Linked DNA regions of Diceros bicornis minor. The protein of the gene in region 1 binds, or shares a complex with, the protein of each later gene. Links are inferred from orthologs where the notes say so. Each region holds a gene or a part of one and is shown on either strand. Other genes may lie near its edges.

Region 1 (16,361 bases):
CTTCCTTCCCTGTACGGGGAAGGACCTTGCCCTCCATCTGGCCCCATCACTGCTTCCCTCAGCCCAGGCTCTCCTCACCTTTCACCTGGAGGAGCAGACTGTTCTCCCAGCTTCACTCACTTCCTGTGCTAATCTGTTGAGTTCATCACTGTCAGAATCTTCTGCATCACATCATTGCCCTGCTCAAAATGCTCCAGGGGTTACTCATTGCTCACAAATGAAAGTCCAAATATTATACTTAGCAAGGCCCACCACAATTTGCTCCCACCCCACCTACCTCTCCAGTCTTTTCTCCTTACTCTGACACAGCTCTCTGTCTATCTCTTAAACATTTTGTTCATTCTCTCCCCTTCGCCCTCTAGTCTGAACTGGATTTAGGGATATTTATTCAAGTTCTGAAAAAAGTATTATGATACCTAATCTTAATTTTTAAAATTTTGAATTATGTTACACCTTAATACCCATGTATTTACTTTTCTCAGTGGGTCAGTAGCCCTCACAAAAGCAAAGTTCCCAGGCCCAAAGTAAGGCCTCGCTTTTTCCAAGCTCTTCTTTTAAAAGACATAAATGTCTGCGAGTTGTACCATATTAGGTCCTAGAAATTTTGCATCAGAGATTTTATCAGACCACTTTCCTCTAAGTCAAGAAAGAGCTGGGAACAGAACAGGACACCGGGCGACTGAAAGAGAGTGCTGAAACAAAGTCAGAGAAAGTTGGAAGGAGCAATGAGGAACACCAAAGGTGAGCCGGCGATGATTTCCGCTGTACTGGGAAGTGTGCCACACACCAACTGTATCTCCATGTGGATGGACCAGGGCTGTCAGCTCCCTTGACGTCCAGAACAACACACTCCATGTTTCCTCCCTACCTCCCTGGCTTCTGCTTTTTAGTTGCCCTTACCTGCCCATTCCTGGGTGCACACCCTCTGGCTGGTGGGTGTGCCTCACCACTCCACATCCTCCCCTGGCCCTCTCACCCACTCCAACACTTCCATTGCTAAGGATTCCACATCACTAGTTCTAGCCCATTGTCTCTTCTGTGCTCTAAACTCATACATGCAACTCCCACTGGATTTGCCTCATAGGCTCCTCACAATCCACATCATTTTCTCCAAATCTGCCATCATTTCTCCCAGAAAATAGCGCTTTGGTATCCCTCATTGCTCCTTCCAGAATATGTATAATTCAAATACCTCATCTAAGTCAGTACTTTTCTTTGAGCCATCTATCTTCCTCATGTCCCACATCTAACCAATCACCAAGTTGTGTTGATTCAACCTTCTAAATTTTATTTATTTATTTATTTTTTCCCCCAAAGCCCCAGTAGATAGTTGTATGTCATAGTTGCACATCCTTCCAGCTGCTGCATGTGGGACGCGGCCCCAGCATGGCCAGACAAGAGGTGTGTCGGTGCGCGGCCGGGATCTGAACCCGGGCCGCCAGTAGCGGAGCGCGCACACTCAACTGCCAAGCCACGGGGCTGGCCCATGATTCAACCTTCTAATAACTCAAATACATCCTCCTCTCTGTCTCCACTGCCAATACCCAACTTCAAGCCATCCTCATCTCTCACCTGGATGATTCAATAACCTTCTTCCCACATTTGCTCTCTCCCCTTTAAAATCCATACAGATCTTTTAAAAACATAAGCCTAATTTTGCCACTCCCCTGCTTAAGACACCTCAAAACTGCCTCATGATAAATATAATGTTCTTAACATGTTTATAAGGCTGCCCATGACCTGGCCCTGCCTATCTCTTCAGCCTCATCTCATGTCACTTTGCCCCTCACTCTCTGGGCTTCTGCCACACTGGCCCTTTTTCAGTTTCTCTAATACAACACGGTCCTTCTAGCTTCGGGGCCTATGCACATGCTGCTCCCATTGCCTGAGACATGAATCTCTTTCCCTACATCGACTTGCACCTTCATCTGGCTAAACCCTACTCTTCCTATCCATTATGTTGCCTTATTAGAGACACTCTCTATGACCTTTCAGATTAGATTAGGTTCTCTCCTTTCCCCCACACAGATCTCATAACATCCCTTATTAACCCTTTCTTAATAACTACCACAACTGTGATCATATGTGCAAGATATGGCTTTTCTGCTAGCAGAGATGCTCCATGAGGTTCAGAACCATGTTTGTCTTAATCACTACTCAGTCCTCAGCTCCAAGCATGATCCCCATCTTCTATGAATGAATGCATGAACTGATAACCTTTAATAATTATTCCAGCCTACTATGCCCACTATAGACAAGCTTGCATTCTACTTAGAATTCCTTTAACTATAACCAGACTTTTGGCTAGCCACATTTCACATTTCCTGCAGCAAATCTTTGCTTTCCATTCCATGTCAAGGAGGGGTCTGGACTAGCAGAGTAAAGAAAGGTCTAAATTTCATGGATAGAGAAGGGGAATAAACCCCAAAAGGGGCACAGCCTGAGCAAAGAAATAGCAATGGAAGAATGTTGGACATTTGGGGAAATGAGAAAGGAAACTAACACTAAACTGAACACTCTCACAAACACAATCTAATTTAATCCTTCCAAAACCCTATGAAGTAAGAATTATTAGCCTAGTTTTACAGATGAGGCAACCAAAGCTCTAAAAGTTAAGTAACTTGCCCAAGACCACACAATAGGAGACACAGACATGCAATGCTATGCCTTATGGCTTTACTCGCCCTATTTCCTCAACCTGGAATATCTGTTCTCCACTATTCAAATCTAACTCTTCAAGATATAGCTAAAACGCCGCCTCCATGAAATCTTCCCTAATTCTCTGTATTCACTTCAGTCACTCCCTTCCTATCTGTCTGCTTCTGTCTCTGTTGCAACACTTCTTTCTTCTGCTTGTACTATAGTCATCTGCACAGGTCTTCCCTAAAACTTCTAAGCTTGTTAAGGGCAAATGGAGTTCTTTGCCACCTCTTTCCCCACGGCTTCTGACACAATGCCTTACACGCGATGGAACTGTGAAGGAGGTTGTCAAGCTGGCCTCAGGAAGATTTTGTGGAACTGTGCTCTATAAGAACACCTGCTCCCCCCTGCCCCTGGGTCCTCCTCCTGAGTCCAGGCTCTCTCAGTCTGCTCCTTCTCTCCAAAGGGAGCCACAGTGCCTTTGAGCAACCCAGCAGAGGATATAATGACCTACTGAGAATAGCAGTTAAGACCCCATGGATGTAAGAGTGCAGAAAAGGCGAAGTTAAGATCATAATTTTCCTAGGATGTTTCTCTTTTTTTTATCAAAATACTCTAAAACATGTCCAGCCTTTCAGACTCAGAAACCTAAACTTCCTTTTCTTGAGGGTAATAAAGTGCCCAGATGGTCCTTCATGTATATCAAGCTTTCTAGAAAACAAGACTGAGTCATCATCACTGAACAGATGGGGTAAAAATGCTATTTCCTTCTAATTTACTAGCAACTGTTACATATTTCTGTACTAGAAAAGGAACTTATTTCTATTTATACTCTAAGTGACAAATTAAATTTGCCATTGAAGTAATGAAAAAGCATGTATCTATTTGTGACTCAACTGTATGTGTGACAAAGAAAGATTCTACAAAAGGATAGTAAGGAATAAGTCCAGTGTGGGCCCTATGTAACCAAATATATTTCAAGAGCACAGAGGTGCCATGAAGCAGAACGTGGTCATGTTCAGGGTAGTCATGAAATATAGAACAGACAGCCAGGGCCGGAAGAACTCCAGTAGTCATCCAGTCCAACCTCCTCCCTTTATAGATAAGGAAAGCCCAGAGATGTGCAGGAATTGCCAAAGGTCACACAACTGGTTAAAGTCAGAGCCAGATTCAACTCTCTTGCCTCTCCAACCACACTGTATGCCACACCTGCCACTCCCCGCCCTGTGCCACAATTGCTCTAATCAGGGGCCCATCCTCCCCAGTAGCCAGCAGTTCATTTCAAAATGAGGGAGGAGAAAAGGGGCATAGGACCTTTGCTATCGACTATTTGCATGCATAATAAGTCAGCCTGACATCACAGTGAATGCTTGTATTGATGTTTATAAATAACGCTGTGAAAAACTATAAAGCACCATATAAATGTTAGATTTTTAGTCTAATTATTACATGATTTGTATCCGTGATGTTAACGCAACAGTACCAACTTTATTATTGCCATTGTCACAGCTAATATATCTTTATATTTGGAATTGGAATTTGGCCAAAATGAAGGCATCTTATTAGGTTTTTAATTTGCCTTATTGGAAAATTCATCTCCCAGAGAGTGGAGAATGTGACAAGAGTAATACTAATCTAGAAACAATTCTTTCAAAAGAGGAATCAGTTATGTGAAAGAGGAATTTTGAGATAAAGTGCATGTCATCTTGAAGTTTGTGATAGAAAAGGGAAGAATAGTCATACACAGTAGTAATCAGAATAGGTTAGGTTATACCACAGTAATAAACTTTGAGATCTCAAGGACTTAACACAATTAAAGATCTGTTTCTTACTCATGCAAAGTTTAAAACAGATTGTTCTCGCCTTGTACCTTTGCAGCCACACCTCATCCATTTGTACCCACACCATCTGGACTACGTGACTTCCAAACTTATTGCATCAGAGGAAGTTGGAGATGACAGAGGCACACACCAGCCCTTGATTGCATCAGCCTAGAAATGTAACACATTACGTATCGCTTCCTGTTCACAGTGCATTGGCCAGAACAAACCATGTGTTTCTAATCTAACTGCAAGGGAGACCAGGAAATGAAGACAGATATTTATCAAGTAATCCCACAAATAAGCCAGTGGATATCTAGTGAGCCCGGTCTACCACATATATGTTCCCTAGATTCCAGGAAAGCAAATATCAAAATGCTTAGAGTATCCCATTTGTGTAAAAACAAATCTATATATACCTTGAAAAAAGAAAGACCAAAAGCAAATACACCAAAATAGTAATAGTGAATACCTCTAGTTATTTAATTGTTTGTGGGTTTTATTTTTTCTTTATATTTTTTATATTTCCCTAGCAATATTTAATAAACATATTTTAGAATCTAAAAAAGTAATGCAAAGTTATTTTTTAAATTGAGAAACAAGTTCAGACCACAGATAACTATGACTCCAAGGAGGAAAATGACTCAAAAGGAAAAGGACTTTCTTTAAAATGCACTTCTGATTAGAGAATCACAATTAGCCAGCAAGAAGAAAAGTGAGAGACGGGCACAGACATGACTGTTGCCACACAGGAAGCTCTCTGATGAACTCTGATTTTTAAAGTCTGAGAAAGACAGAAAGAAGGGCACAGAGCCAAGGAAAAAGTCAAAGAGGCAGCACAGTCCTATTAACCACCATCTCAAGAGGAGAGGGAATTTAGAAAGAAAAAAGCACATAAATAGGGGAAAAAAGAGCTAAGGTGAAGACAGGGGATCCCAGCTAAACAGGGATTTGCTGGCTCAACATGAAGCAGCCCCTTCCTGCTGCAGGCTTCCTCCATCCACTCCAAGCCGTCCCTCTGCTCTCCAAGTTCCCAGAGCACTTGCCCAAAGTTTACGCAAAACTGAATGGATAAAGACCTTAGTGGGGTCTACACAAGGCTCTGTCCATCTGGCTCTTGCCTCTCTCCTCATCCTCATCTCCGCACCCCCTCAGTTCCAGCCTCTCTGGGCTCCAGCCTCAATGCCTTACTTTCATTTATCTGACCCCCATGGCCTTTGCTCAGCCTAGAATGTTCCCTCTTCCCTCCCCATTGAACTTCCCACTCCCAGTCTTAAGACTAGCTTCTCTGTTAGACGCCTTCACTACACTTACGTTGTTAGTACTTATCTACTCATTGAGGGGATTATTGATGAACATCTTCACTGTCCGCTTCCAGGACAGCAGCAACCATAGCTGTTTTTGCTCACTGAATGGGGTTGCATCCTTTTTACCTCCTTTTTCACTTATGGATAAGAAGCCATGGGAGTGATTATTTCTTCCTCTTACCCCTAGTTACTGAAGAGCCAGTACCACTAGATAGTAGGATATTTGAACTAGGAATCAAGGAAGAGTGAGTTCTCATTTTCATTCCCACTCTCATATGAACTCTCCATGTGACCTTGGGACCTTAGCACTTCCCGTCTCTGAGTCTGCTTCCTCTTTTATGAGGGAAGAGTTTAATCTAGATAGTGTCTGAAGTGCATCCTTCTCCCACGTGTCGTTCTAGGTCCTTCAATAGACTAATAAGACAAAGCAGAAAAACTAGAAATTAAAAAGAGTAAAGGAAAGGAAGAGTTAAGAAAAAGAGATGGGGCCAGCCCCGTGGCGCGTAGCGGTTAAGTGTGCGCACTCTGCTGCTGGCGGCCCGGGTTTGGATCCCGGGTGTGCACCGACGCACTGCTTGTCAGACCACGCTGTGGTGGCATCCCATATCAAGTTAAGGAAGATGGGCACAGATGTTAGCCCAGGGCCAATCTTCCTCAGCAAAAAGAGGAGGATTGGCATGGATGTTAGCTCAGGGCTGATCTTCCCCCCCCCAAAAAAAAAAAAAAAAGAAAAAGAGATGACCTCGTGAGCTTAGGCTCTGGTGTCTGAATCCCATTCTGGCAATTTGGTGACGTTGCGATCTTGGACAGATTGCTTAATCTCCCTGGGCCTTGACTTCCTCTTCTGTAAAATGTGATAAGAATACCTGCTTCACAGGTTTGATGAGAGGATTAAATGAGATAATAATTAAATGAGAGATTAATAATTAAGTGAGATAACACCTGGAACATGGAAGACTACTTACATGTTAGGTCTTTTCCTCCTTCCCGCTAACTTTCATGGAATTTAAAAGCAGATTATATAATTAAATAGCACCTGGGTTGAGACAAAAGGCTCAATTGTCTCTGCATGTGATGGTTTATGCACACTTTATTCCTCTGAAGATGCTTTCTACCACCTAAAAAGAAATAACTGCATCCCCTGAAAATTCTCAGTGAAGACTTGTGTTTCTCTCTTCACTCAAGCAATCCTGTCAGATCCAACTATATGCAATGATTTTAAAGTTGGTTCCAAAGATGTTCACAGATGTTTCTTTTCTTCATGGTACAGTGGCAAGAGCATGACTAAAGTCCACATCCAGACTCCACTACTGACCATGTACTCAGTTATGTTGATCACCTTCACCCTTGTCCTGTGTGTCACAGAATAAAATGAAATGTCATTGGAGGAGAAGAGGGGGTGGGTGTTTCAAAGCATTTCTTTTTCCATCTTTTTTTTTAAACAAAGAATCCTAGAATCACCGAATGACAGCGTGTTTGAGGCAGGAAAGACCTTTAAGGATGATCTATTTCAGTCCTGTCACTTGGTGTTGGTGGTGATAAGAGACTTGAGTATCTACATGCAGTGGAAAGAGAAGATTGGACTTGGAATCAGAAACCTGAGTTCAAGCGCTGGCTTTGCTAGTTTTGTGACCATCACTTGGTCACTTAACCTCTTCAAGGGTCCTCGGCTACGAAAGGGGATAGCAATCACTACCTCTTGTAGGTAAAGTGAGGAGCCAGTGCGACAGGGCAGGTGAGAGCTCTTAGTGAACTATAAAACAGTTTTCAAATGAAAAACATCACTCTGACTCTTTGGACCCACAACCTTCAAGCTTATAAAGCATATCTACTCACCTACTAAAATATATCATCTCATCTTGCATAACTAATTTTGTCAATCATGACAGAAAAATAATGATGCCTAGCAAAACCTCTGGTACAGAATAAGCGCACAGTCAATTTTTTTCTGAATGATTTAGGTGAAAATGACTATAGAAGAGTTCTTGAGGCTTCCTCAGAGTCAAGAGGTAGGTGCAAGAAGCCACCCAAAGTCCTTGAAACAGGACAGCCCCCAAACACCCTCGGGGATCCAGTAGAACTCTACCTAGCATGTTCCTCTCTCTGTTCCCTAGAGAAAGGTGGTCTGGTGATGAGGCTTACATACAAGGCAACCTTGGTTCACACTCACAGAAAAGTAGGCTCCCCAAAACAAAGCACAGATCTCTCACTCTCTAAACCTCACCCACGCTGTTCTTCCTTTAAAAACCAGTTTCCAAGAAAGTCATGTGAAGAAAAATCTTAGGTGAGACCCCAAACTGAGTTCGCTGTCTAGAAAAAATTCAAACTCTCCTTGAGAAATTCAACCAACCACATTTGGGGAATTCTCTACAACAGAGGAGTGACATAGGCCAGGATGGGTGTTGCCACTAATGGTGGAACCAAGGGTGTTTTCCTGGATTACCAAAGAGGCGCGACATATTCCTCCCAGAAACTAAATATCTTCAGGGTTTCAATGGAGGCCTTCACCTGAAAATATCCTCCCTGTGGAAGTTTTCAAACCAATATTTTCATAAGAACTATATTTTCTTTGGTGAACTAAGGCATTACAATGATGACTATATAGGTTCCCAAGTGACAGAAGCCATCATTAGTGTTGTTATTATTTTTGTTTAGTTGCATCTCCATAGTAGCTCACATTCACAATGTGCTTTGCAATTGTTTGTTGGTAATAATTCTCACACGATCTCTGGGAGGCAGAGGGGGTGACCAGGATTAACATTTCTGTGTTGCCTGAAGGGGAACCACAGATGCAGAGAATTGCCTACCATCACTGTTCATACAAGAATCCACCCTGAGACACCCAAGCTCTGCCCTAATCTGGTCCTCCATTTACACTGCCTATATCCAGGATGGCAGTTATTTCTGTGGTTCTTTTTTATAACTATTGTAACACAAAGTCTAGGGCCAGGAGGAATTGGACCGGGCAATAGAATCAGAACCAGAGATTTTGCACCTAGGATAGACGTTAATGGTCATCTAACCAACCCCACTATTTACAGTTAAACAAGACCAGAAAGAATACTTTACCCAACTCACACTTGACTCCCAGTTCTGAGATTTTTTGCTTTTTTATACCATGTTGTGTTGTGGTGCCTGGTCTTTCTCTCTTTACCGTTTTTTCCCTCCTCTACCCTCTTTTTCCATTCATTTTCTTTATTTAAAATTTATGCAGCTAAAACTCCAACCAGGAAGCCTGAAACAGTTATCTGCTAAGAGTCTGGTGTTCTACCACCTGAACTGGGCTAGCCTCAGGTACCGAAAAAGTGTTTGATGATAACAGCCAGGCAACACTGATGCAGTGTCATTTATGAGAGTCCCTTCCTTTCCCCCAATCTCCATTCTTGAATCCAGCCACTGGCTTCCGGCTGGTGCCTTGCCTATACCTCCCTGAGTCTGCAGCTTTCCTCACACACCTCAGGTTTACCCTAGAGAAGACCAGGGCCACCTTGCTATAACGTGGCCAGGGCTGAGAGATCTCTCCTGAAGCTCTGTCACTCTGTAGGGAATGGGTTGACAGTATTCAGAGGAGAAGGGGATTAAGACTTTTGCGGTTGAATATTACCTTTCTCTCCTCTACCCTGCCCTAACCAGGAGGTTGTCACGCTATACTCAGAGAGATTTATGCCTGTTCAAGCAAACCCCCCTCTTCACAAAAGATGGCTCATCTTCCCTCAGGGGCCACCAAGTATTGTCTGCCAGGGGCTGCCAAGTATTCTATCAATTCATACTCAGCTCTGGGGTGCACTAAACAAATTAAGCCAAAACACAAACTATAGCTCCTAAGCCCCTCTCCAAGTCTAGCCATCCATAATTCTGATTTTAGGACTTCTCCCTTCCTCTCTCACCACATATTTTTAGAAACTTAATAAGTTTCCTGCTCTTCTTCCCTTTTTCTAAGACCACATGTTTATAATTGTTTAGAGCAGAGCAATAAATAAAGGAGCCAAGACAGAAAATACTGGAATCTCTGCAAATAACACTATTATCAAGTATATAATCTGTGATTATTTTGGCCAGTATAAGGTTGAATGAACATAAAAAAATACAAAACAGAATTTTTCCCTGTAAATCCCCCATGACGCACTCGTGGCCACGCCTACTCTAAACATAAAAGGCGTGGAAGCCTGACTCGGGTTAAGTCTCCAGGCACAGACGGAGTCATTTTATTGGCGCTTGAGTCGGCAAAGGTATCATCCTTATCACGTCTTCGGCTTTTAAAATATTTTTTGTTTTTCTCCTTGGCTGTTATCTCTCAAACTGCCTTCTCTGAAGCTAAAGCCTCTTTCTTCCTTTCCTGTCCCTCCTTGGTTTGGTGTGTGAGTTAGAATCACAGTCAGATTTCACAAAGTGATTCTTTCTACTGATGGGGAACTGCGAGGACAGTGAAATTGGTTTCATATGAGGGCATTGGTGGGTGCAGCCGAGCCTGCCCTTGGAGGGAATCTCTACTACCAAAAACTATTAGGAGAAAACTGGAAATTTCCAACTCTGTCTCTCTCTTGCATCTGTGTAAGGCAAATACCGCATTTTTGTGGAGTTTTTTAAAACTTTCATTGAATGCCTACTATGTGTAGAGCATTGAGTTGGGCACATAAGGGATACCAAGATTCTAAAAGAAGTTTTCAAGCTAGTAGAGGAGACAGATATCTATATATGCGAATAATTGAAGGGAGTGAAAAGAAGAATGGGGAAAATGCTGAGCGTGGGCTAAGTCATTCATCAAGTTTCTCCAGAAGCACAAAGCGGAGGTGGTTCCCCTTGCAGGCATCTGGTTTAGAGGCTGGCTGGGCTGACAGCCACTGGTGTTCTCTGTTGCAGAAGTCAAGATGGCCAAAGTCCCTGACCTCTTTGAAGACCTGAACAACTGTTACAGGTAGGAAATAGATTCTATCTCTTGTAATTTAATGAGGGGATCAAGGCACATTAGAATCCAGCTAGGAGTTACAGTGACCGGCATGGGGCCAGACTGGCAGAGGCTATACAGATGTGTCCTACCTCTGAAGTCAGGGCAGGTTCAGCCAAGACCCAGGGGAACTAAGCATCCAGCATGTTAAACTGAGATGACATTGACACAGAGACAGCCGTTTTAGAAAAATTATTTTTAAGGTCTGCTGAGTCCTAGTGAATTTCAACATCTACTTAGACGCAGCCTCAGTTGGGTTCATTCTCTGTAGTGATACATGCTGTGATGGAGAGTAATGGGCTTTAGTGGACTATCGGAGAGAGAAACCATTCTCAGGAAAACTCCTTGATCTCAATCTGGAATAGGAAATGGCTCCACAACAATTTGAGCATGTAAATGCACATTCACAGTCAAACCTCCTTCAGACATAGGAGAAAGGTAAATGAAGAAAAAGTTAAAATTATAGAACACTTTAAACAAACATGGCATTCCCATTACCTATTAGTATACACTAACACAAACTAGGCTATTGAAATGTTACCTGGATAGTTTGCCAAGTATAAATTATTAAATCTGTTTTAGTGAATACATGAAAGAAATGTGTAACATATGATCTATTTGGTTAAAATTAAAATGAGGTGCTTCAAAAGTACTTCTTCTCTCTTGAGGAGCTTAACATTTTTCCCTGAAATTCAATTACAACTCTTCAATTTGTTAGTCAAGCCACGTTTTTATAGATAAAGCACAGGTAAAATTCAAGACCTATCCTGATAATTACTAATTCCAAATTAATGAGGTACAACTTACTGTATATATGTGTATGTATAGAAGTCCTTAATTTTCAAAGATGACAATAATGGCCGTGTGTGTGTGTTACCCAAAGCTAACGTGGTCTTTAAAATACGTTGCCAAGTGACTGTAGTGATATAACAAACAGAATTACATTCTCATCATCTTGTTTGACAGTGAAAATGAAGAATATAGTTCTGAAATTGACCATCTCTCTCTGAATCAGGTAAGCAAATGACTATAATTCTTATGGGACTGCCATTCTTACACAGTATTTTTTCCACCTGAAGAGAACAGCAATGGCTTGAATCCTAGATGCTTTTGTTTTACCGTCACTAGAGATCCAGAGATGTGCATTTCTTCATTATAAGTGAGACCAATTGCCTCTCTGCACTAACAGTTGATGACATTCTTCATGCTCACCCGATTTTCCCAGAACAGAGCAGAACTATCCTGAAACCCCAAGAACTGGAGTCTCCTGGATCAGACTTCATCAGAATGTTAGTTATGCCATCCTGACTCAGCCCCTTCAGGCCACTTCACTAGGGATCTGTCTCCTAAAGTGATATGTTGTGGTCATCCACTCTGACACCAGCACCACAGGTTAGAGATAGCCCTCCAAATGTAATAGCCCATGAAGCTGAGGTGGAGGAAGCCCGCCAATTGAAAGTGAGAAGTCTGCAGCCACTCACCAAGCTGTGTTATTTTGCTAGGAGACCACAAAATAGGCAGTATAAGTACTGCGTTGTGTGTTTTTAGTACTGGCTCTAAAAGCTGTTCCCATAGGAGTATTTCTAAATTATTTGAGCACTGTCAAGTAGATGTTTAACCTCCTGAGGGGGAACTAACTGGAAGGCGGTAGCCTTCCACTCACTAAGATCACTTGTAAACACCACATCTCATTTTTGAGTCTGCCAATGGATGACCAAGAGATCACATCCTTTCAGGAAAATCCTGAAAGGAAGGGGAGGTAGAGGGAAGACTGATGAAACCTGGGTTACCCAAGACCAAAAAGGAGATCCTTCTCATTAAGTCTGTTGGAAAAAACTCCTACTGAAAGGAATCTCATTCTATGGCCACGGACAGCCTCTCAGTTTCCATTTTCCTTCTTCACAGAAATCCTTCTATGATGCAAGCTATGACCCACTTCATGAGGACTGCATGGATAAATTGTCTCTGAGTACCTCTGAAACCTCTAAGACATCCAAGCTGATCTTCAAGGAGAGTGTGGTGCTGGTGGCAGCCAACGGGAAGACTCTGAAGAAGAGACGGTTGAGTCTAAATCATTTCCTCACTGATGGTGACCTGGAAGCCATTGCCAATGATCCAGAAGAAGGTAAGGGGTCAAATGCAATAATATCCTTGTTTTCCATTTTTAAACAAATGGGGACAATAGAGTATATGAGAAAATAAAACCTAGAATGAGAGCAACAAGATGGCAACCAGGTATTACTCTGGTAACTATAAGGAAGGAAAATGGATTTCTATCCTTTCCAGCAGGACGAGAGCAGCAGTGGCCTGAGTCTAGAATACTTGTTCACATGCTCATTTCGTGGCTATATTGTAAAGGTCTTGTAACTTTTAGCCTTTTGGCAGAAAGTAGTTATATACTATGAGTGGATGACCACTTACATGCTATGTTCCTCCACACACTAACTGTGCCTCTTTGAGCAACTTACTTAACCTTGCTGTGCTTCAGTTTCCTCTACTATAAAACGGAGATAATCAGAGCCCCTACTTGTCATGAAGATTAAATGAGTTAATAGCCGCAAGCTTCTGGGCTAGAATAATGCCTGGCACATAGTAAATATCCAATAAATGTTAGTTATTATTGTTGTTATTATTACTATTACTACTACTATCTTTGTTAATACTGCCAACACTACTCATTTATCAATGGCTGCATTATCTCTCACCTTCACAACAACCCTACATTCTCATTTTATATATGAGGAAGCTAAGTTCAGTGAGATAGTAACCTGCCCAAAGTCACATAGTGTGTAAGTGGTAGAGACTCAAACCAAATTCAGTTCCTGCTGACTACAGAAATCATGACTTTTCTCCCACGCCTTCATTTTACAAGCCTCTACATGAAACATAAATCCAATATTGTTAAGATAACAGCTAAAGACTAATACGTGTTCACCTGGAAAATTGGCAAAATACAAGAAAACATAAAAGGGAAAATAAAAATCACTCACACTACCACTCAAGAGTTTACCACTGCCAGCACTATTATACTTTCCTTAAAGTCTTTTCTATATATACACACTCATGAACAAATTTTTTTAACATTATGTGGGTCATACTATATACAGTTTTATATATAGCTTTTTTCACTTAGCAATATATAAAGGGCATTTTAGAGTGCCAATTTTTCATGATTATAAATAATATGACAATGAACACTCATATCAATAAATCTTCATTTGTATCACCATTTATTTCCTTAGAATAGATTCCTAGATGTAGAATTACTCAGAGCCACAAGGATTTGGGAAGATATTGATACATACCACTGTTCAGAAAGGTGGTAGACATTTAGACCTGCACCCTCAGTGACATACATAATTCTTAATGGATTCATTTTTTTTCTCAGAGTGCATTCATTCAAAAATATAGATGAGGAATACTAGGAGTCTTCCTGGTTACTTAGAAACCTCCAAACAACCAAAAATGAGAATGCTGCACAAATAATCTCTTAAAAAAATAAAACTATTGCCTGAGGAGTCAAAGTTTATTAAAAAAACAAATAAATAACCACAGGGATAATCCTAGAACCAATTCTACTGCTGATTGGATGATTTCACTTCTCTCAGTTTCCTCACCTAGATTGGAATATTCTTAATGTCCCTTCCATAGCTACTTTCTATGTTGCATTAGAGCAGATATATCACCTGTGTTTGTACCTAGAAACTAACCTGAGCTTGTGATAACGGTTTTAGAGATCATCAAGCCCCAATCGGTAGCTTACAACTTCCAGAGCAATGTGAAATACCGCTTTATGAGGATCATCAACCACCAATTCATCCTGAATGACACCCTCAATCAAAGTATAATTCGAGATATATCGGGTCAATACCTCATGGCTGCTGCATTAAATAATCTGGACGATGCAGGTAAAGGGACATCTCTGTCACCCTCCCTTCCTTTTATTTCTGTATTTCTTTTAAACTTTCTGCTTTCAAAGAATAAACCTCTCTAGATTCTTGGCTTTGCACTATTCTTCTAGAATAGGATGAAGCACATCACCTCTGGTAAAAATATCAGGCAAGGACAGGGGCTTCAGCCAAATCTAGGAGCTCCACAAGAGAGAAGTGTCCTATCTTTGAGAGCACTAGGTGCAGCATAAAGTAAATGGTATTTGTCTTTCTGCATCTGCCTTATTTCACGTAGTCTAATGCCCTCAAAGTCCATCTGTGTTGTCGCAAACCGCAGGACTTCCTTCTTTCTTGTGGCTGAATAATATTCCATTGCATATATATACCATGTTTTCTTTATTCATCCATTGATGGACACTTAGATTGTTTCCATATCTTGGCTATTGTAAATAAGGCTTTTTTAATGACACTAGAATATTCAATCATGTTACTATGCTTTTGGGTTTGCTCTAAGTAACCTTGTTGCAAATGTGTTTATATATATTATTTTTTTCCTTAGGAGGTTATTTCTTTGGAGCATATCCCAAAAGTGGAACTCCTGGGTTACTAGGCATAAATAACTTTACAGCTTTTATTAAGCATTGTTCTCTAAGGAAAACTGAACTACTTTTCAGTATCATTAGCAACATATGAGTGTATCAGCTTCCCTAAACCCCTCCATTTTACTAATGACCTCACAAATTGCAGGGTCTTATCTCACTAATGTAATTACAAGAAATTCAACAAATATTCAGCCCCCAATCATTCATTCAACACAGAAAATTCTAAAGACATTAACCAAGTAATTACCTGCCTAGTAAATATGGCAGACATTGTGAAGGACACAAAGATGTATAAAATTTCATTCCTAATCTCCAGGTACTTACACCACAGTTGGGGACCTAACTATACAAACACATACACACACACACACACACACACACACACACACAGTAGCTACATAAACACTTGATTTTATACAAATACCATGGATTTACTTTCTTTTTGGCTTTTCTCTTCGCCAGTGAAATTTGACATGGGTGCTTATACATCAGAAGAGGATTCTCAATTTCCCGTGACTCTAAGAATCTCAAAAACTCAACTGTTTGTGAGTGCCCAAAATGAAGACGAACCCGTACTGCTAAAGGTCAGTTGTCTTCAGTCTCCAGCTCAGCTTCATTTACATCCCACATGTTTGTAAATGATCCCAATAGGCAGACATCCCTAGCAGGGTGGCACAGTTCTCTTCTCTTCCTACCACAGTCCCCACCTGCCCACCTGCCCCCCATCCTACTTCTCACCTATCCCCAGAGGCAGTTCTAGCCAGGATCTGTGAGAGAGTAAAATGGAGGTAGCAAGAGTGAATAAAAGGTAAATTGCCTTCCTCTTTCCTTTTCCTTTCCCTGCCTGATCCTATTCACCTCCCATCCCAGGGCATCCACTTATTCCATCTATCTCCGATCTTTACTGACATCTATAATCTGACCTGATAGTAGGCATTAGGACCATGGGGCCTGCCTCCAAGAAACTTGGTCAGCTGAGGTCAGAGAGAATTCATCATCTGCCAAACAGCACCAGGCAAAAAGCTGGCAGCCAAGACTCAAACCCCGGCCTTCTGACTCCAGTGCCTCTCTCTCTCTTCATTGGTACAAGTATTATCGCTCATCTCAGCCCCATCTTCACCACCACCTTCCCCCTCAAACATACAGATACACATACA
Region 2 (15,942 bases), on another chromosome or scaffold:
CTGGGAGAACGTCGGGCACATGGCAGATGCTTGTCCACCACTGCAACCCAAAGCCCAGGACGGCGTCAGGAGAGGACATAGTAGGTGCTCAATAAAGATTGACTGAATAAATACAAGACCAATCCAACAAGGAAGGTATTATTATGAGTCCATTTCACAGATGAGAAATTAAGGCTCTGAAACACTACATAACTAACCAGGGATGACAAGCTCAAATCTGCATTTGAACCTAGATTGTCTGTCTCGGCTTATGCTCTTATCCACTATTCTGTATTTCTTGCCCCCAAAAACTATTAGAAATGATAAAGCGTCTGGTTACAATATTAACACATAAAAACCAATACCTTTTAGGTATATGAATGTTAACCAGTCAGAAATATAATAAGAAAGATCCCATTTAAAATCATAAAAAATAAATAAATAAAGCACTTAACGCATTAATGTAGAACTCTATTAAGCTTTTGAGAAAAAAACTGAAGGACATAAAAGAAAACTTGAATAAATAGAAAAACATACAGGGATCAGCCCTGTGGCTTAGTGGTTAAGTGCGTGCGCTCCACTACTGGCAGCCCGGGTTCGAATCCCGGGCGCGCACCGACGCACCACTTGTCCGGACATGCTGAGGCAGCATCCCACATACAGCAACTAGAAGGATGTGCAACTATGACATACAACTATCTACTGGGGCTTTGGGGAGAAAAAGGGAAAAAGAGGAGGAGGATTGGCAATAGATGTTAGCTTAGGGCCGGTCTTCCTCAGCAAAAAGAGGAGGATTGGCATGGATATTAGCTCAGGGCGGATCTTCCTCACAAAGAAAATAAAGAAAGAAAGAAAGAAAAACATATTTTTTTTAGAGACAAAGAATCAATAGTATAAAGACATTAATTTTCCCTAAAATATCATTTTTATACTATCCCAATTAAAATATCTACAGAATTCTCTTTAACATGATTAAATGTTACTAAAATTCTTCTTGAAAAATAAACGTAAGATCTACCAGTGAAATTCTGAAAAATAAGAATAATGAAAGAGAACCAACCCTACAAGTTATGAAAGCATATTATAAAACTATAGTAATTAAACGAGATTGTTACCGGGCCGGCCCCGTGGCTTAGCAGTTAAGTGCGTGCGCTCCGCTGCTGGCGGCCTGGGTTCGGATCCCGGGCACGCACAGACGCACCGCTTCTCCGGCCATGCTGAGGCCGCGTCCCACGTACAGCAACTAGAAGGATGTACAGCTATGACATGCAACTATCTACTGGGGCTTTGGGAGGAAAATAAATAAATAAATAAAATCTTAAAAAAAAAATAAAATAAAAAGATGTTCTTTTAAAAAAAAAAAACAACGAGATTGTTACCAAATAAATAATAAACTGATGAATGAAACAGAATAAAGAGATCCAAAACACACATGGGAATTGAATAAATAATAAAGGTGGTATTTCACACCAGTGGGAAAATTTTAATAATAAAATAAAGTCTGGGGTTTTTTTAATATGTTAAATTGGGGAAAACTTTTTTTTTAAAAGATTTTATTTATTTATTTTTTCCCCCCAAAAGCCCCAGTAGATAGTTTTATGTCATAGCTGCACATCCTTCTAGTTGCTGTATGTGGGACGCGGCCTCAGCATGGCCGGAGAAGCGGTGCACGCCCGGGATCCAAACCCGGGCCGCCAGCATCAGAGGGCGCGCACTTAACCGCTAAGCCACAGGGCCGGCCCGGGAAAACTTTTCTAAGCATGGCATAAAACACAGAAGCCATTCAGGAAAAGCTAAATAGATTTGACTACACAAAAATTTTTTGTATTCTGTATGGCAAAAAATACCAAAAACGAAGTCAAGAGACAAAGGGCAAATTAGGAAAAAATATTTGCAACACACATAATAGACAAAGGCTAATTTCTTTACTCTAGGAAGAGCTATAATAAATCAATATGAAAAAGAAAAACTCTTTGATAAAAGAAATAAAGAAGCAGTTCACAGAAAAAGCAGTATACGTGTCCACCAAAAATATTTTTTAGGGGCCAGCCCAGTGGCATTGTGGTTAAGTTCATGAGCTCCACTTTGGTGGCCCTGGGTTCGCAAGTTTGGATCCCAGGCGCGGACCTATGCACTGCTTATCAAGCCATGCTGTGGCAGGCATCCCACGTATAAAGTAGAGGAAGATGGGCACAGATGTTAGCCCGGGGCCAATCTTCCTCAGCAAAAAAAGAGGGATTGGCAACAGACGTTAGCTCAGGGCTAATCTTCCTCACCAAAAAAATATATATTTTTTTTTAATATTCTATTTCACTCAGAAGTAAAGAAATGTAAATCAAATAAGATACTATTTTCACATATTAGATTGGCAAAAATTAAAAACTTGGTAAGAACCAGTTTGGGCAAGGACATGGGAAACAGGCATTCGTATGCACTGTTGGTGGCCATGAAAACTGGTACAATTTTGCTGGGAGGCAAATCAGTAATAACTATAAAAATTAAGAACAAACATGCTGGGGCAAGCCCGGAAGCACAGCGGTTGAGTTCCCGTGCTCCGCTTCAGCGGCCCACAGGTCTCGGGTTCGGATCCAGGGTGTGGACCAACGCACTGTTTGTCAAGCCATGCTGTGGTGGCGTCCCATATAGAGTAGAGGAAGATGGGCATGGATGTTAGCCCGGGGCCAATCTTTCTCAGCAAAAAAAGAGGAGGATTGGCATTGGATGTTAGCTCAGGGCTAATCTTCCTCACAAAAAAAAAAAAAAAAGAAGAACAAACAAGCCTTTTGACCTAATATTTCTACTGCTAGACATTTCCCCTATGTTGATATTTTCCCTTAAGTATTTAAAGATATATAAAGAAGGATGTTTGCAAAAGGGAAAAAAATGGACACAAGAGAAATGTCTATCAACAGAGGATTGGTTACATAATTTGGGTTAACATACATAATGGAATACAGTGCATCATTTTTTAAAAATGGGAAAATATCCTATATGCACTGTTACATTGTTAAAAAACTATTTGTAGCACAGTAGGTAAGATGCAATTATTTACTCACTCACTCAACAATTTTTATTTTTTACTTTTTTACCATCTACTCACTCATTCAATATTTTACCGAACATCTACTAGGAGTCAGACACTGCTCTAGGTGCTGGAGATAAAACAGTGAGCAGGTTCCTTTTCCCATGGGACTTACATTCTTAGTAATACACAAGTACATAATGGAGGTCAAGTTGTGATGGAAGTGTTCTGAAAGAAAATAAAGCAGGGTAAAGGACTAGAACACAAGGGAGGTGACCTTTGTATTCAGTGGTGAGGGAAGGCCATGCTGTGGATTTGCCATTTGAGCAGAAATGTGAGTTACTTGAGGCATAGGCCTAGCAAATACCTGGGGGATGAGCATTCTGGACCTGGGCAGGAAAAGTGGAGACAGTAAGTATAAATAACTCTCATTGCTTTTGAGGAGTTTTGCTATAAAGGGGAGCAGAGATGGAAGGCATAGCTGGAAGGAGTTGTAGGGTAAAGGGAGGTTTTCTTTTTTTTTTTAAGATAGAAGACATTACAGCATATTTGTAAACTGATCAGAACAATCTAGTAGGGAGGGAAAATTTGACGATGCAAGAGAGAGAGGAAAGATTTGAAAGAGTAGTCTTTTTTTTTTTTTTTTTTTACCTGTAAGGAAGATCAGCCCCAAGCTAACATCCATCCCAATCCTTCTCTTTTTGCTGAGGAAGACTGGCCCTGGGCTAACATCTGTGCCCATCTTCCTCCACCATTATATGGGACGCCGCCACAGCATGGCCTGACAAGCGGTGCATCGGTGCGCACCCGGGATCCGGGCCAGGGCCAGGGCCGCCAGCAGCAGAGCGCGAGCACTGAACTGCTACACCACGAGGCCAGCCCTGAAAGAGTAAAGTCTTTAAGTAGGTGAGAAGGAATGGGATCCAGGGTATGAGAGGAGGGGCTGGCCTTAGGAGCAGAGACACATCATTCATGTGACGGGAAGGAAGGCAGGGTATGTGCTGACTGGTTGGTAGGTTTAGGTGGAGGGAGCACATAGAAGTTTCCTGATTGTTCTTATTTTCTCAGTGAGAAAATTTCTCAGTGAGACAGAGAAGTGGAAAGAGGGACTGGAGTCTGAGGAGAAAGGAAAAGGTGTGAAATAATCATCTGAAAGAGCTAGCAACCGAATCAGCTAGGAAAATGCAGCAGAATTGCGAGGCATTGCCAAGCGTCCCCTTGGGGTTTGTGGTTATATATTTAAAGTGAGACAAGTCAACATGGCAAGTCAGCATTTTTCTCCAGCCAGATTCAGCTATAGGAGTGCAGAAGCAGAAGGGTGAATTTAACCAGCAAGTTCATGGAGGTGAAATGTTGGATTTAACCTGGGTTGGGATTTCACCTAACAAATAGGACAGAGAGGGCCAGCCCCGTGGCTTAGCGGTTAAGTGCGCGCGCTCCGCTGCTGGCGGCCCGGGTTCGGATCCCGGGCGCGCACCGACGCACCGCTTCTCAGGCCATGCTGAGGCCGCGTCCCACGTACAGCAACTAGAAGGATTTGCATCTATGACATACAGCTATCTACTGGGGCTTTGGGGGAAAAAAAATAAATAAATAAAACATTGAAAAAAAAAAACAAATAGGACAGAGAGAAACAGAATCAAGGAAGCTGAGGGTGTGACTACATGATGACCCTTAGAACCCAGCTGAGGGGCTAGCCCCGTGGCTTAGCGGTTAAGCGCACGTGCTCCGCTACTGGCAGCCCGGGTTCGGATCCTGGGCGTGCACCGACACACCACTTCTCCGGCCACGCTGCAGCCACATCCCACATACAGCAACTAGAAGGATGTGCAACTATGACAATCAACTATCTACTGGGACTTTGGGGAAAAAAAGGAGGAGGATTGGCAATAGATGTTAGCGCAGAGCCAGTCTTCCTCAGCAAAAAGAGGAGGATTAGCATGGATGTTAGCTCAGGGCTGATCTTCCTCCCAAAAAAAAAAAAAGAACCCAGCTGCGTAAGAAGGGAAATAAGGACATGAGGGATGATGATGGAGGATGAAAAAGTGGTCAAGAGACTGACGGTCCCAGTGGAGTCAAGGAAATGCTGAAGTGGAGGAACTAGATAGAGGAATAGAACTGAAATGACAGGAGGTAGTAGACACAGACAGGGAAGCTTGAAATCGCAATTTTGGAGGTGGTGCGTTATTTTGGTAATGACAAGATCTAAAGCATGAAGAGAGGAGTAGGATGCTGAGATGCAAGTGGATAGAATCTTTGGAAGTGAGGAGTTCAAGAAATTGAAAGGCCAGGGTGTTGAATGAGTTGTCTGTGTGGATACTGACGAAAACAACAGTAGCAGTGATGAGAAGAAAAACATTAAGCCATGGGCCAGCCCCCATGGCCTAGTGGTTAAGTTCAGCACACTCTGCTACAGCAGCCCCAGGCACGGACCTACACCACTCATCTGTCAGTGGCCACGCTGTGGCAGCAGCTCACATACAAAAAGAGGAAGATTGGCAGTGGATGTTAGTTCAGGGTGACTCTTCCTCAGCAAAAAAAAAAAAAAACAAAAAACAGTAAGCCAGGAGCTGAAGAGCTATAAGGAATGCAACAAGAAAGGTGGCAGGCGGCATACTAGCTTCCAAGAAGCTGGGCATCTTAGGAAGAAGAAACTAAGATCTGGGAGCAGCAATGAAAAGCAAAGAGGCTACTTCCTGAATTTCCAAGCCCAGAGAGAGCTGGATTTGGAAGAAAAACAAGTCACTATTTGACAAGGCTACAGGGAATTCTGTACCTTCAGCGAGAAGAGGAAGGGAAAAGTCCGAGAAGTCTAAGGATGCAGTGGACTTTTCAGATGATCAACTATGAGCTTCAGAGATTCATTTGTGTTTTTCTTTTTTTTTTTTTTGAGGAAGATCAGCCCTGAGCTAACATCCATGCCAATCCTCCTCTTTTTGGTGAGGAAGATGGGCCTGGGCTAACATCCGTGCCCATCTTCCTCCACTTTATATGGGACGCCGCCACAGCATGGCCTGACAAGCAGTGCATCGGTGCGCGCCCGGGATCCGAACCGGAGCTGCCAGCAACGGACCACGCACACTTAACCGACAGGCCACGGGGCGGGCCCCTCTGTTTTTCTTTAAATCCATGTTCACACATTTTTATTTGCCTGTGAATTTTCAGAAAGGATGTAAAAGAAACTGTTAACAGCCTCGGATGATGTGCCAACCCAGAGTGAATGCAATTTAAATCCCTACTCCAGGGCCGTCCTGATGGCATAGCGGTTAAGTGCGCTGTGCGCTCTCCTGCGGCGGCCCGGGATTCAGATCCTGGGCGCACACCGACGCACTGCTTGTTAAGCCATGCTGTGGCGGTGTCCCATATAAAGTAGAGGAAGACCGGCACAGATGTTAGCCCAGGGCCAGTCTTCTTCAACAAAAAGAGGAGGATTGGCAGAGGTTAGCTCTGGGTTGATCTTCCTCACAAAAAAAAATCCCTACTCCATCCTGTGAGTAGGAGAAAAGGAATGACCTTGTCAGGCGCATTATTGAGGGGATTCCCAGAGGGGGTGGGAAGTAATCACAGATTACTTACATCTCCCTCATACCCTGAGATTCTATGACTCTATGAATTTGGCTGCATTTTATTTTTGACAAACCCCTTCCCATAGCTGGGCCTTAGTTTCCATATATAAGAAGTGAGGAGTTTGGACCATGTTTTCTCTTGACCTCCTTCTGATGTTCTATGAATCTCCTGAAAGCCAGCTCTGGGTCCAGTCCTGTGTTGCGGAAATGAGACCAGAGAGGCACAGAGCAGACACAAGAACCCAACAGCATTGTCTGATGGAAGCACAAAGCTCAACAACACACTCACTCACACAAACACAGTGTTACCTCGTTACACACACACACACCCCCGGCAAAAACACCCAGAACCATTTACGAATAGTCACACACATCCATCTCCACAACACACCTGTGCTCACATTATCGTGCCCAGCAATACCATCTCACATACACAGTGTCCCACAGCCACTGTCTCCCAAAATCTCAGGCCCAGAGACCCCCACTTACCTTGAGCAGGTGAGGCAACTGCTGAGTGACCAGTTCCTTAAACTCATTGATGCTGAGACTGCCCTTCCGGCCCTCCCGCCCTGCAAAGGTGAAGAAGGTGGTGACCACTGTCTCGATGGCCGCCTCCAGCTCAGTCAGTGGCTCAGCTGCCATTAGGACCCCGGGGCTGGAGCTGATGTCCTCACAGGGCTGACCTGAAGGAGGGGAAAGGAGAGAGAGAGAGAGTCAGGATAGGCCAGAGTGCCCCTGCCCTGGCATTGCCACCTCAGGCCTCTGCCTGGAGGAGGCATTAGGGGAAGGAGGGAGGGGACAAGGATGGAGCTTGGGGCAGGGAACCAGGCAACAGTACCTCAGTGCACCCAGGTATTCACTTCCAGAAACCCCTTCCTGTCTAGGTCTCACTGTCTGGGGGTCCTTTTGAAGTGTTTGTGTCTTAGGGACCCTTCTGTGGTGGCCTCTCAGTGGAGACTCCTCTGTCTGGCAGGAGGCCAGGGTCCCCCTTTGGAGTCTTCTCAGTCTCCTGGCCCCTCTGTGTAGTTCAGTCCCAAGGGCCCTTTCTTGGAGTCTCACCCAGCCTCAAAGGGTCATGAGGTTGTTTGTCTCCAAAGCTTGTTTGTGTAGGGACCTGGGTCTCCACCCGCCGGCACTCCACCCGCCCACACACGTTCTGGCCGCTCTTCCCAGCAGAGAAGCCCAGGGTCTGGCCACTGCCCAGCTGCGGTCAGGGTTGGCTCAGTCTTGACAGCCCCGGCCTCTGCTGCCCGCCCCCATCTCCCTCAGGGGCAGCTGGGCAGAGAGCCGAGCCCAGGACCCTACAGACCCTCCCACCCCTATTTCCCGGCGACACGGGTCCTGGATGGGACTCGGCTGACTGCCCGCGCCCAGTAAGGGCTTGGTACCGCCCCTCACAGCCCTGGGGGCGGGGACGGCTGGAGGAAGGGGACACGCCCCCTCATCCCTCCCTTTCCCACCCCCCCGCCCCCACCTCTGGACTTGATCTCCCAAAGCCACTTCCTGAATCCCTGTCTGAGCGGGCTCCGGGAGAGGGACGCGGGAGACCAGGGAGAAAAAAGGCTCCGCAGGCCCCTCCAGGGTTAGGGGGATGCGACTCACCGGGGCAAGGAGCCGGGGTGCACGCGAGCAGGAGCCGTAGGGCTGAGGTTTATAAGCCCCTCGGGCGGGAGGAGACAGCCGCTCCCAAGCCCGGAGGTGTCGCGTTTCCGTGGTTGATTCTGAAGAGAGCAGACCGCCCAATCACGCTTCTCGCCACCACCACCCCCCTCACCCCACCCCAGCAATCAGGCCTTGAACCCTGGCCCCCCAACCCGGCCCACGCGCGCCCCCACTTGGTGGAGGGGCGGCCCTGCCTGGAGCTGCCCGGAGCTGCCTGGACAGATCCCACTCAGCTGGTGTCCTAGGGTCCCATCCCTTCTCGTACAGGGAGCCTGCTGCCCCACCACACCTGCGTCTAATCGGGAGTGTGTCTGTTGCCGGGAGGGGGGCGACTGCAGATGGAAAGAACCAACTGAGGGAGCGCAGCACTGAGAGCAATCCAAGAAACACCACACAGGACCCCTCAGAATGAGATCCCGCAAAGGACCCTGCAGCCCAAGACCCCCTCAGAGGATCCCAGGCTCTGACTCCACAAACAGAGGGGGATCCAGGCTGAGACCCCAGTAGAGGAGACCTTGGATTGAAATACCTCAGTGGGGTCTCAGACTGAAACTCCTCAGGGAGACTCCCAAGACTAAATTATTCAGAGAGGACCCCTCACTAAGACCCCTCAGCGGGCTCCTCCTGTTCCCTGCCTAGCAGCCACAGCCAGTACCGCAGGGGGTGGCAGGCAGGCCTCTCAGTGTCCCTCCCAGGACTTTTCCCACCTCCCTTCCTCCTGGGCCCTGCCTGTTGAGGCCCAGCAGTGGGGGAAGGCAACAGAGGCTAAAGAAGAGGACACAGGGCAGCCTGTTCCAGCCCAGGAGACAGAGGGCGCCTCTGTCCTCTCCTGGCCCCTTGCCCCACTGGGTGTCCGTCTGTGAAGGGGTGGAGCCGGTGGGGAGGGGGGGTCAGTGGGGGAAGGCAGGCTGAAGACAGGTCTCCCCACACAGCTCCGGGAGCCACATTTGCAGCTTCAGCTGTCTGTCCAGAACCTGCTCCCACCTCAGGCCCAGGCTGACAGTGAGTATTCTGCCCCATCCTGCCCTGGCCAGCTTGGGGGAAAGGGGACTTCAGCGGGGCTCCAAGAGTCTGGGGACAATGGCATCGTGGTGCACTGAGGGACTGGAAAGTATGCTGGTGACTGCGGTTTGGGATTTGAGGGAGACAGGGTTTGGAGGGTGATGAAGGCAGGCAAGTGAAGGTCAGAGGGAGATCTGGGAGCTCAGTGAATAAGGAAGCCATTGGGGAACCCAGCCACCAAGCTTCCAGGAGACCAGGCCCTTCTACCACAGAGCCCTCAAGTGTCCTCCCAAGGTTCCCTCAATCTCCCTGAGGCTGGCAGGGGACCCAGCCCTCGCCTCACTTCCAGTGGGGTAAGAATAAGAAAGCAGATGGAACAGCTGCTTCTGCCCACCCCTGCTTCAGCCTCGGTCTCTCTGCCACCCCCACCCAGCCTTGCCAAGAGCTCAGGTTCCAGGGAAGTCTGGGGGGGGAGGGCAGAGCATGGACCGTGTGATATCAGGAAGAGGGGGCACTAGGATACTGTACCCAACCCCAACCCTCCCTTCACGTGAGTCCCCTTTCTCCTCCTCCTCTTCCTTGGCCCAGACCTCCAGATTCTTCTTCCCCTCAATTCTTTCCTCTTTGCTTTCCCATCTGTCCCCTCCCTGCCCAAGTCCTTTCAGAATGGCCCCTACACAAAATCCCAGGCTGCTCAAGGGCTCCAGGCAACCTTGAGGTGCCCATCCTGGATGGGGCCGATAACTTAGCCACCAGCACCCCTCCTTCACATACCCCCCTTATCCCCGCCATCAGCCCAGCTTGGGTTCCATCTCCCCCATGTCTCTGTGACAACTGCTTCTCATATCCGGAGTTCAGGTGACACTCACAAGGGCCCCATTGAAGAGCTGGGATGTCATCTGATCAGGGCCCATTGTCCAGCCCATCAGGCCTGGGGAAGGATGGGGACACCTGATCTGAGACACCTGAGCTGCCCCCTGAGACCATGGAGGGGCTGATTGTCCCAAGGCCAAGGCAAAGAGGCCCCTGCTTGGCAGTCCCTCCTCCTCAACAGACCCTTCCATTTTTCTCTTCTCTCGCAGCCCCTTGAACTCAGAGGACCCGTGCACTCAGCCCTTTATCTCCCTCAATACATTTTAGCCCATTCTCCCTGCTGCCACTGTCCCCACATCAATTAGGTCAGGCTGGGGGTGGGAGTGGCCAGCAGCAGGGACAAGTCCCACAGGATTCCTCTCCCCCTTCCTGGGAGCCCTGACTCCAGGGAAAAGGCTCAGACATTCCTCTCTCCCTTCCCACCACCACCCGATGGAAGGGCTGATTCTGCAGAGAAGTAAAAGGAACAAAACTAGAAGTAGTAGAGGTGAACCCCAGGGAAGCCAACGTAACATGTTCAGGAGAGAACAGACTTGAAGGACCAAAAGAGGCCCCCAGTCTGCTGACACGAAGTTCAGAGGCAGTGAGACCCGCCCCACCCCCGTCCTCATGAAACCTGGGGCCAGACACTCAGGCTGCCACCCTCTCCATCAGGCTGACCGAGGGCACCAGACTGACTCCTTGCTAGGGATGGGCAAAAGAGACAAGGCTATAAAGGGGAGCCCAGCCATCACTGCCAACAGCAGAGCTTGGCTGTGCTAGGCAGGCAAGGTCCAGCATAATAACAGAGCCAGAGGAAGCCTGGCCAGGTCCTGTGACCACCCCCGCCTGCCTGCCCCACCCTCCTCAGTGTCTGCCCAGGCAGCCAAGAGCCACTGCAGACTCCTCTGCAGGCCTCCAGAGCCAGCCCATCTCCAGCTGCTCTACCTCCATGCCCCAAACCCTGACTCCCTCTTGCTGGGGTATGGATTGAGGGACACAGAATACAGGTCTGGATTTAGGTCTGTTGGGTTCTCCCACATCGTAAAATCTCAGTGAAGGATAAATTTCAGTGGAGCTCTGATCTCATGGCTATTCGAGCTATGGGACCAGGGCCATGGCTAAGGGCTCCCCTCTACTGGACCACAGATACCCTGAGCTTGGTCCTCAGCTCACTTCCATGGTGGGGGTGGGTAGGTGAGCTGCGCAATGGGCTCTGAGCTGGAGACGGCGATGGAGACTCTCATCAATGTGTTCCACGCCCACTCGGGCAAGGAGGGGGACAAGTACAAGCTGAGCAAGAAGGAGCTGAAAGAGCTGCTGCAGACCGAGCTCTCTGGCTTCCTGGACGTGAGCACAGAGTGGGGGTATGGGGTGGAATGGGCAAGGGGTGGGGGAACAGAGTGGGCACCTCTCTGCCATCTCCCCACCCCACCCCAGCTCAGACCAACCATCTCCTTCCTCTCCCAGGCTTCTCTCCTGGGTTTTTCCAGGCTCCCCTAAGTCAAAATGCCGATTTATTGGTCACCTGTTAAAAGTGCTAGACTCTATGTAGATGCATCGATAACAAGGCTCACAGTCTAGAAGGGAAAGACTGACACTTGGAAGTAAACCATGAACACCAGGAAGTGACATATTCAGGAAAGAACAGAGTTGAAGGACCAAAAGAGGCCCCCAGTCTGCTGACAGGAAGCTCAGAGGCAGTGAGACCTTCCTCCCTCTGAAGCCTTGGGCCAGCCACTCAGGAAGTACGCAAAGCCTGAACAGAAGTGCCAGAAAGGCTTATGGGAGAATATTAACCTGACTAAAGTAGGACAGCTTCTCCAAAGAGGTGGCACTTGAGCTATGGATTTCCATCGCAAGGTTATTAAGGTAAATGTAGGTATTTTAGGAGGAAGTAACTGCATGAACAAAAGCATAGGAGAAAGAAGAATATGCAGCATGCTATATATAGTAAAGGAGAAGCCAATAGAAAGTGTACCAGCTTTGAGGTTTTATTAGACGTGGGTTCAAATTCTGGCCCTGCCACTTTCTAGCTGTGTGACTTTGGGCACATCATTTAACCACCAACTGTCAATTTGTTTCTTCTCTAGAATGGGAATAATGAAACCTACTTCATACTATTTGTGTTAGAATTAAATTAGACAATGCTTGTAAAGCTCCTAGTGTAGTGCTTGTGGCATTGTAGGCACTCAACATACGGTACTTGACGTTGTTATTGTTACTCTGCCTTGTTAAGGAGCTTATTCTGTAGGCAACAGGAGGCCACATGTGTTTTGTTAGTTTTGAGGAGGGGAGCAGAAGAGTCCCATAATTAGTCCCTCTTGTTCATCTCTGCCTCCTTCTCCCCAATCAGCCACCTCCCTTGCCCCTGACTCAGTGCTATTCATCTCCCTATACACCTACCTCTCCATCTCTTCCCTCCACAGGCCCAGAAGGATACGGATGCCGTGGACAAGGTGATGAAGGAGCTAGACGAGAATGGAGATGGGGAGGTGGACTTCCAGGAGTATGTGGTGCTGGTGGCTGCCCTCACAGTGGCCTGTAACAACTTCTTCTGGGAGAACAGTTGAGCAGACAGCCCCAGTGGGCAGCGCCCTTCCCCTCCACCCTGCCATACCTGCCCCTTTGCCCTGCTTCCCCCTCACCCCACTTTCCCCTCCCCACACTCCCACCCTTGCCCCTCCTCCAACAAGGGCGCAAGAGTAGTGGGCCAGGCCTGCAACTCATGTTTCATTAAAGGCTCCTCTCTCACCAGCTGCTGTCTGTCTCCTATGGGGTCTGCAAGTGAGTGGGGAAGTGAAGGCTGCTCAATCCCAGCTTGCCTTATTGGGGGGGGGGGGTCTTATTTGGAGAGAGATCAAGGGACCATTACACCTTCCTACTTGAGGAATGCTCATGGCCCAGGAAGGTAGGGGTTCAAAGTTCCAGCTGGAAGTACAGGAGATGTCAGCTTCTCAGCTATAAGACAGAAAAAGAAAGAATTTCCCTTTAACCTTGAAAGAATAGTTCCTGAGGACCTACCATGTACTAGACATTGTGTAGGAACTGGGGATACAGCAGTGAACAAAACGCGACCATTACCCTCACCTAGGTAAAGTAAGGTGGAAGGATGCTAGACCATTAAACACACACAGGAAAATGCTAGGAAAGAAAATGAAAGGATCCTGAAGTGCCTGTATGGGGGGGAGGAAGGGTCGAAGATGTGCTGATTTACTCATTCTTCAAACATTTGAGCATTTTATTGTGCACCCAGGCATAAGAAAAATCCTGTATAGGTCTGCATCAAAATTCAGCATGGATGGCAGATGGGGAGGGAGGACATGCAAGGGGATGCAGGCACACAAAGGTCCCCCCCAAATAAGGATTTAACAATATTCAGGCCAACTTGGGGAGGGAAGTGAAGAGGAAAATACGGAGGGCGTGTGGTGACTGGCACAGGCTCCAGTAGACGTGTGCTCCCAGCACCGGCCCCAGGCTGTGGCTGGGCCGTTTATGACACTCCACAACTCTGAACAGGGCGAATGATGACGAGAGGAGAGCCAGCGCTCATTACTCGGCCCGGTGGTAAGGAAGAGACCGAGGAAAGCCCCGCGTAAAGAATTTTAGACGGTCTGCCTTGGCTTGGGGAACCGGAAAGAGAGTGAAGAAACACGTAAACCTTTTTCATCAGGACCAAATCCGCTCTGAGCCGCCCAGATCTCGAACAACCCTGCCTCGAAAGCGAACCCTTCGCAAGACCCAAGGGCAGGCCATTGGCCACGCCCCTTTGTGGGCGGGGCACGGGGTGTACCTCAGACAGGGCCTTTGCTAAAGCCCCGCCTTCTCACTAGGGCTCCGCCCCCATCTCTGCGCAGGCGTAGCACAAATCTTCCCGCTCCCTAGTCGTGTGCGGACCGGACGCCTGACGTAATTGCGTCGGCGCCATTTTAGCCGGTCCCACTCCGCACTGGGCGTGGCGGCCATTTTGTTTTGGACAACGAGCGGGAGTTGGCGGCAGCGGCTGTGGTGGCACCGACGAAAGGCAGGCAAGGGCAGGCCGGGCGAGCAGACGGACCGGCCGACCAGACAGCCAGCCAGCAACAACGAACTAACTTAGCAGTCTACCGCTTACACACCTGACCAACCGCCCACAAGTGAAGCCGAGCCCCTCCACCGTCTGCTCAGGTTCGGCCGGCCCCCGGCCCGCCCGCCGCAGCCGTGGTGGCAGCCCCGGGAGGAGCACTGGCGTCTGTTTCCTTCGGTACGTGTTTGTGGTGAGAAGGAGGGGAGAAGTCTTGGGGAGCGGAAGGGGCCGGCGGACGCGGCACGGAAGGCGACGGCATGTGGAAGCAGATAGGGTGTCGGAGTGCGGGGGCCCGGGGAGGGGGCGGAGCCCCTGCGCGGAGGCGGGGGAGCGCCCGCGCTGGAGACTGGTGGCGGGGCTGAGGGAAAAGGTTGGCGTTTGATAGGGCTGGGAAGGAAGATGGAGCAAACTTGGCCGTGTTGACAGGGCTTTGAGATGGCAGGGAGATGAAATGAGGACAACAGGATTCAGGGAAGGTTGGGAAGTAATGGGGGCGGTAGGGTTACATTTTATAGAGCGCGCTCTGGGAGCTAACTCCCAGGTGAATGCCCCTTTAGGAAACCTTTCCTACTCCCTCCCCCGGGTCCCTAGTCCCTTGCTAAGGCCCTACTTGGGAGTCGAAAGCCAGGTTGAAACTAGTTATGCCTGTATCATCTTTCTAGACGAGTGGTTCTCAATTTGGCTGCACGTGAGAAGCGCCTAGGAATTCCGCTTTTTTTTTTTCTTTCCAGTTGCTGATCCGCAGACCTCACCACCAGAGACTGTGGTTTAATTGGTTTGAGGCCAGGCTTCTGTATTTTGTGTGTGTGTGTGTGTGTGTGTGGAAGATCAGCCCTGAGCTGAGCTAACATCTGTGCTAATCCTCCTCTTTTTGCTGAGGAAGACCGGCTCTGAGCTAACATCTATTGCCAATCCTTCTCCTTTTATTTTCCCCAAAGCCTCAGTGCATAGTTGTATGTCATAGTTGCACATCCTTCTAGTTGCTGTATGTGTGGGACATGGCCTCAGCGTGGCCGGAAAAGCGGTGCGTGGGGATCCGAACCCCGGGCTGCTGGTAGTGGAGCGCACGCACTTAACCGCTAAGCCACGGGTGGCCCTGTATCTTTTTTTTAAAGCTCCTTGCAGGCAGGGTTGAGAAGCACTGCTCTAGATTAAAAGCCAAACTCTTATACTTCCTTTAGCTAGGTCTAAGGCTGCCATTTTGGAGGCTTTGGCACATATTTTCTGTCCTGTGGCCTTGAAGTTTGTTAGTTTGCGGTAACTGTCTTATAAATTTAAGCACCCAAAATGAGTTCGAGTGTGATCTTCAGTAGTCATTGATACAAGCCTTTTCATTCATTGTGAGTGTGGGCCTTTGGCCCTAGCAGAAATGAGGTGGTTGTTATTCTGATTTGCTCTTTGTGCCCATTGTCCTTTTGTAGATTCTCGGGATTTGAAGATGGCTGCACAGTCAGCGCCGAAAGTTGTGCTAAAAAGCACCACCAAGATGTCTCTAAATGAGCGGTGAGGCAGCCAACGGCAACTTCAGCTCGTTCATAAGAAAACATTACTTAAATTGGCCTTGGGGTCCACTGCACAAAAACCGGTTTTAAACTAAATACCAACAGAAGGCTACAGACCTCTGTTCTTAGTTGCATCTTATGTGGTACACAAAACAGATTGGGCGGTTGTTTCAAAACCCCTCATCAGTAGATTTTTATGTTAAGCTGTCTGAGATATTTATCTGGTGGGATGTATTTTAAAAAGACTTCTCACACCCTCCCTTTTCTTCACATTTTTTTACGTTGATACAG

What was found.
Region 2: the proteins of IL1A (region 1) and S100A13 are in contact, whole or in part, in an NMR structure (PDB 2L5X), measured with the Homo sapiens proteins. The link is inferred for Diceros bicornis minor from reciprocal best matches to the Homo sapiens genes IL1A and S100A13. Residues at the interface, in NP_000566.3 of Homo sapiens: Asn148, Gln150, Tyr151, Thr194, Ala195, Gln196, Asp197, Leu203, Leu204, Lys205, Glu206, Met207, Gly216, Ser217, Glu218, Thr219, Asn220, His239; in NP_001019381.1 of Homo sapiens: Met1, Arg25, Gln26, Glu27, Gly28, Arg29, Lys30, Asp31, Ser34, Asp68, Ser69, Glu70, Lys72, Phe73.

Annotation. Positions count from the first base shown.
Region 1 is NC_080779.1:19,509,748-19,526,108, reverse strand, and holds the start of IL1A (interleukin-1 alpha), read left to right. Parts: upstream 1-10,635; coding exon 10,636-10,682; intron 10,683-11,678; coding exon 11,679-11,727; intron 11,728-12,617; coding exon 12,618-12,837; intron 12,838-14,446; coding exon 14,447-14,620; intron 14,621-15,666; coding exon 15,667-15,788; intron 15,789-16,361. UniProt on the Homo sapiens protein: Cytokine constitutively present intracellularly in nearly all resting non-hematopoietic cells that plays an important role in inflammation and bridges the innate and adaptive immune systems.
Region 2 is NC_080743.1:57,851,064-57,867,005, forward strand, and holds the start of S100A13 (protein S100-A13), read right to left. Parts: upstream 8,287-15,942; 5' UTR 8,170-8,286; intron 7,941-8,169; exon of another isoform or gene 7,892-7,940; intron 7,801-7,891; exon of another isoform or gene 7,406-7,800; intron 7,251-7,405; 5' UTR 7,210-7,250; coding exon 7,057-7,209; intron 1-7,056. Other genes in the region: S100A1 (protein S100-A1), read left to right, coding at 11,293-11,433, 12,513-12,656; CHTOP (chromatin target of PRMT1 protein), read left to right, coding at 15,588-15,652. UniProt on the Homo sapiens protein: Plays a role in the export of proteins that lack a signal peptide and are secreted by an alternative pathway. Binds two calcium ions per subunit. Binds one copper ion. Binding of one copper ion does not interfere with calcium binding.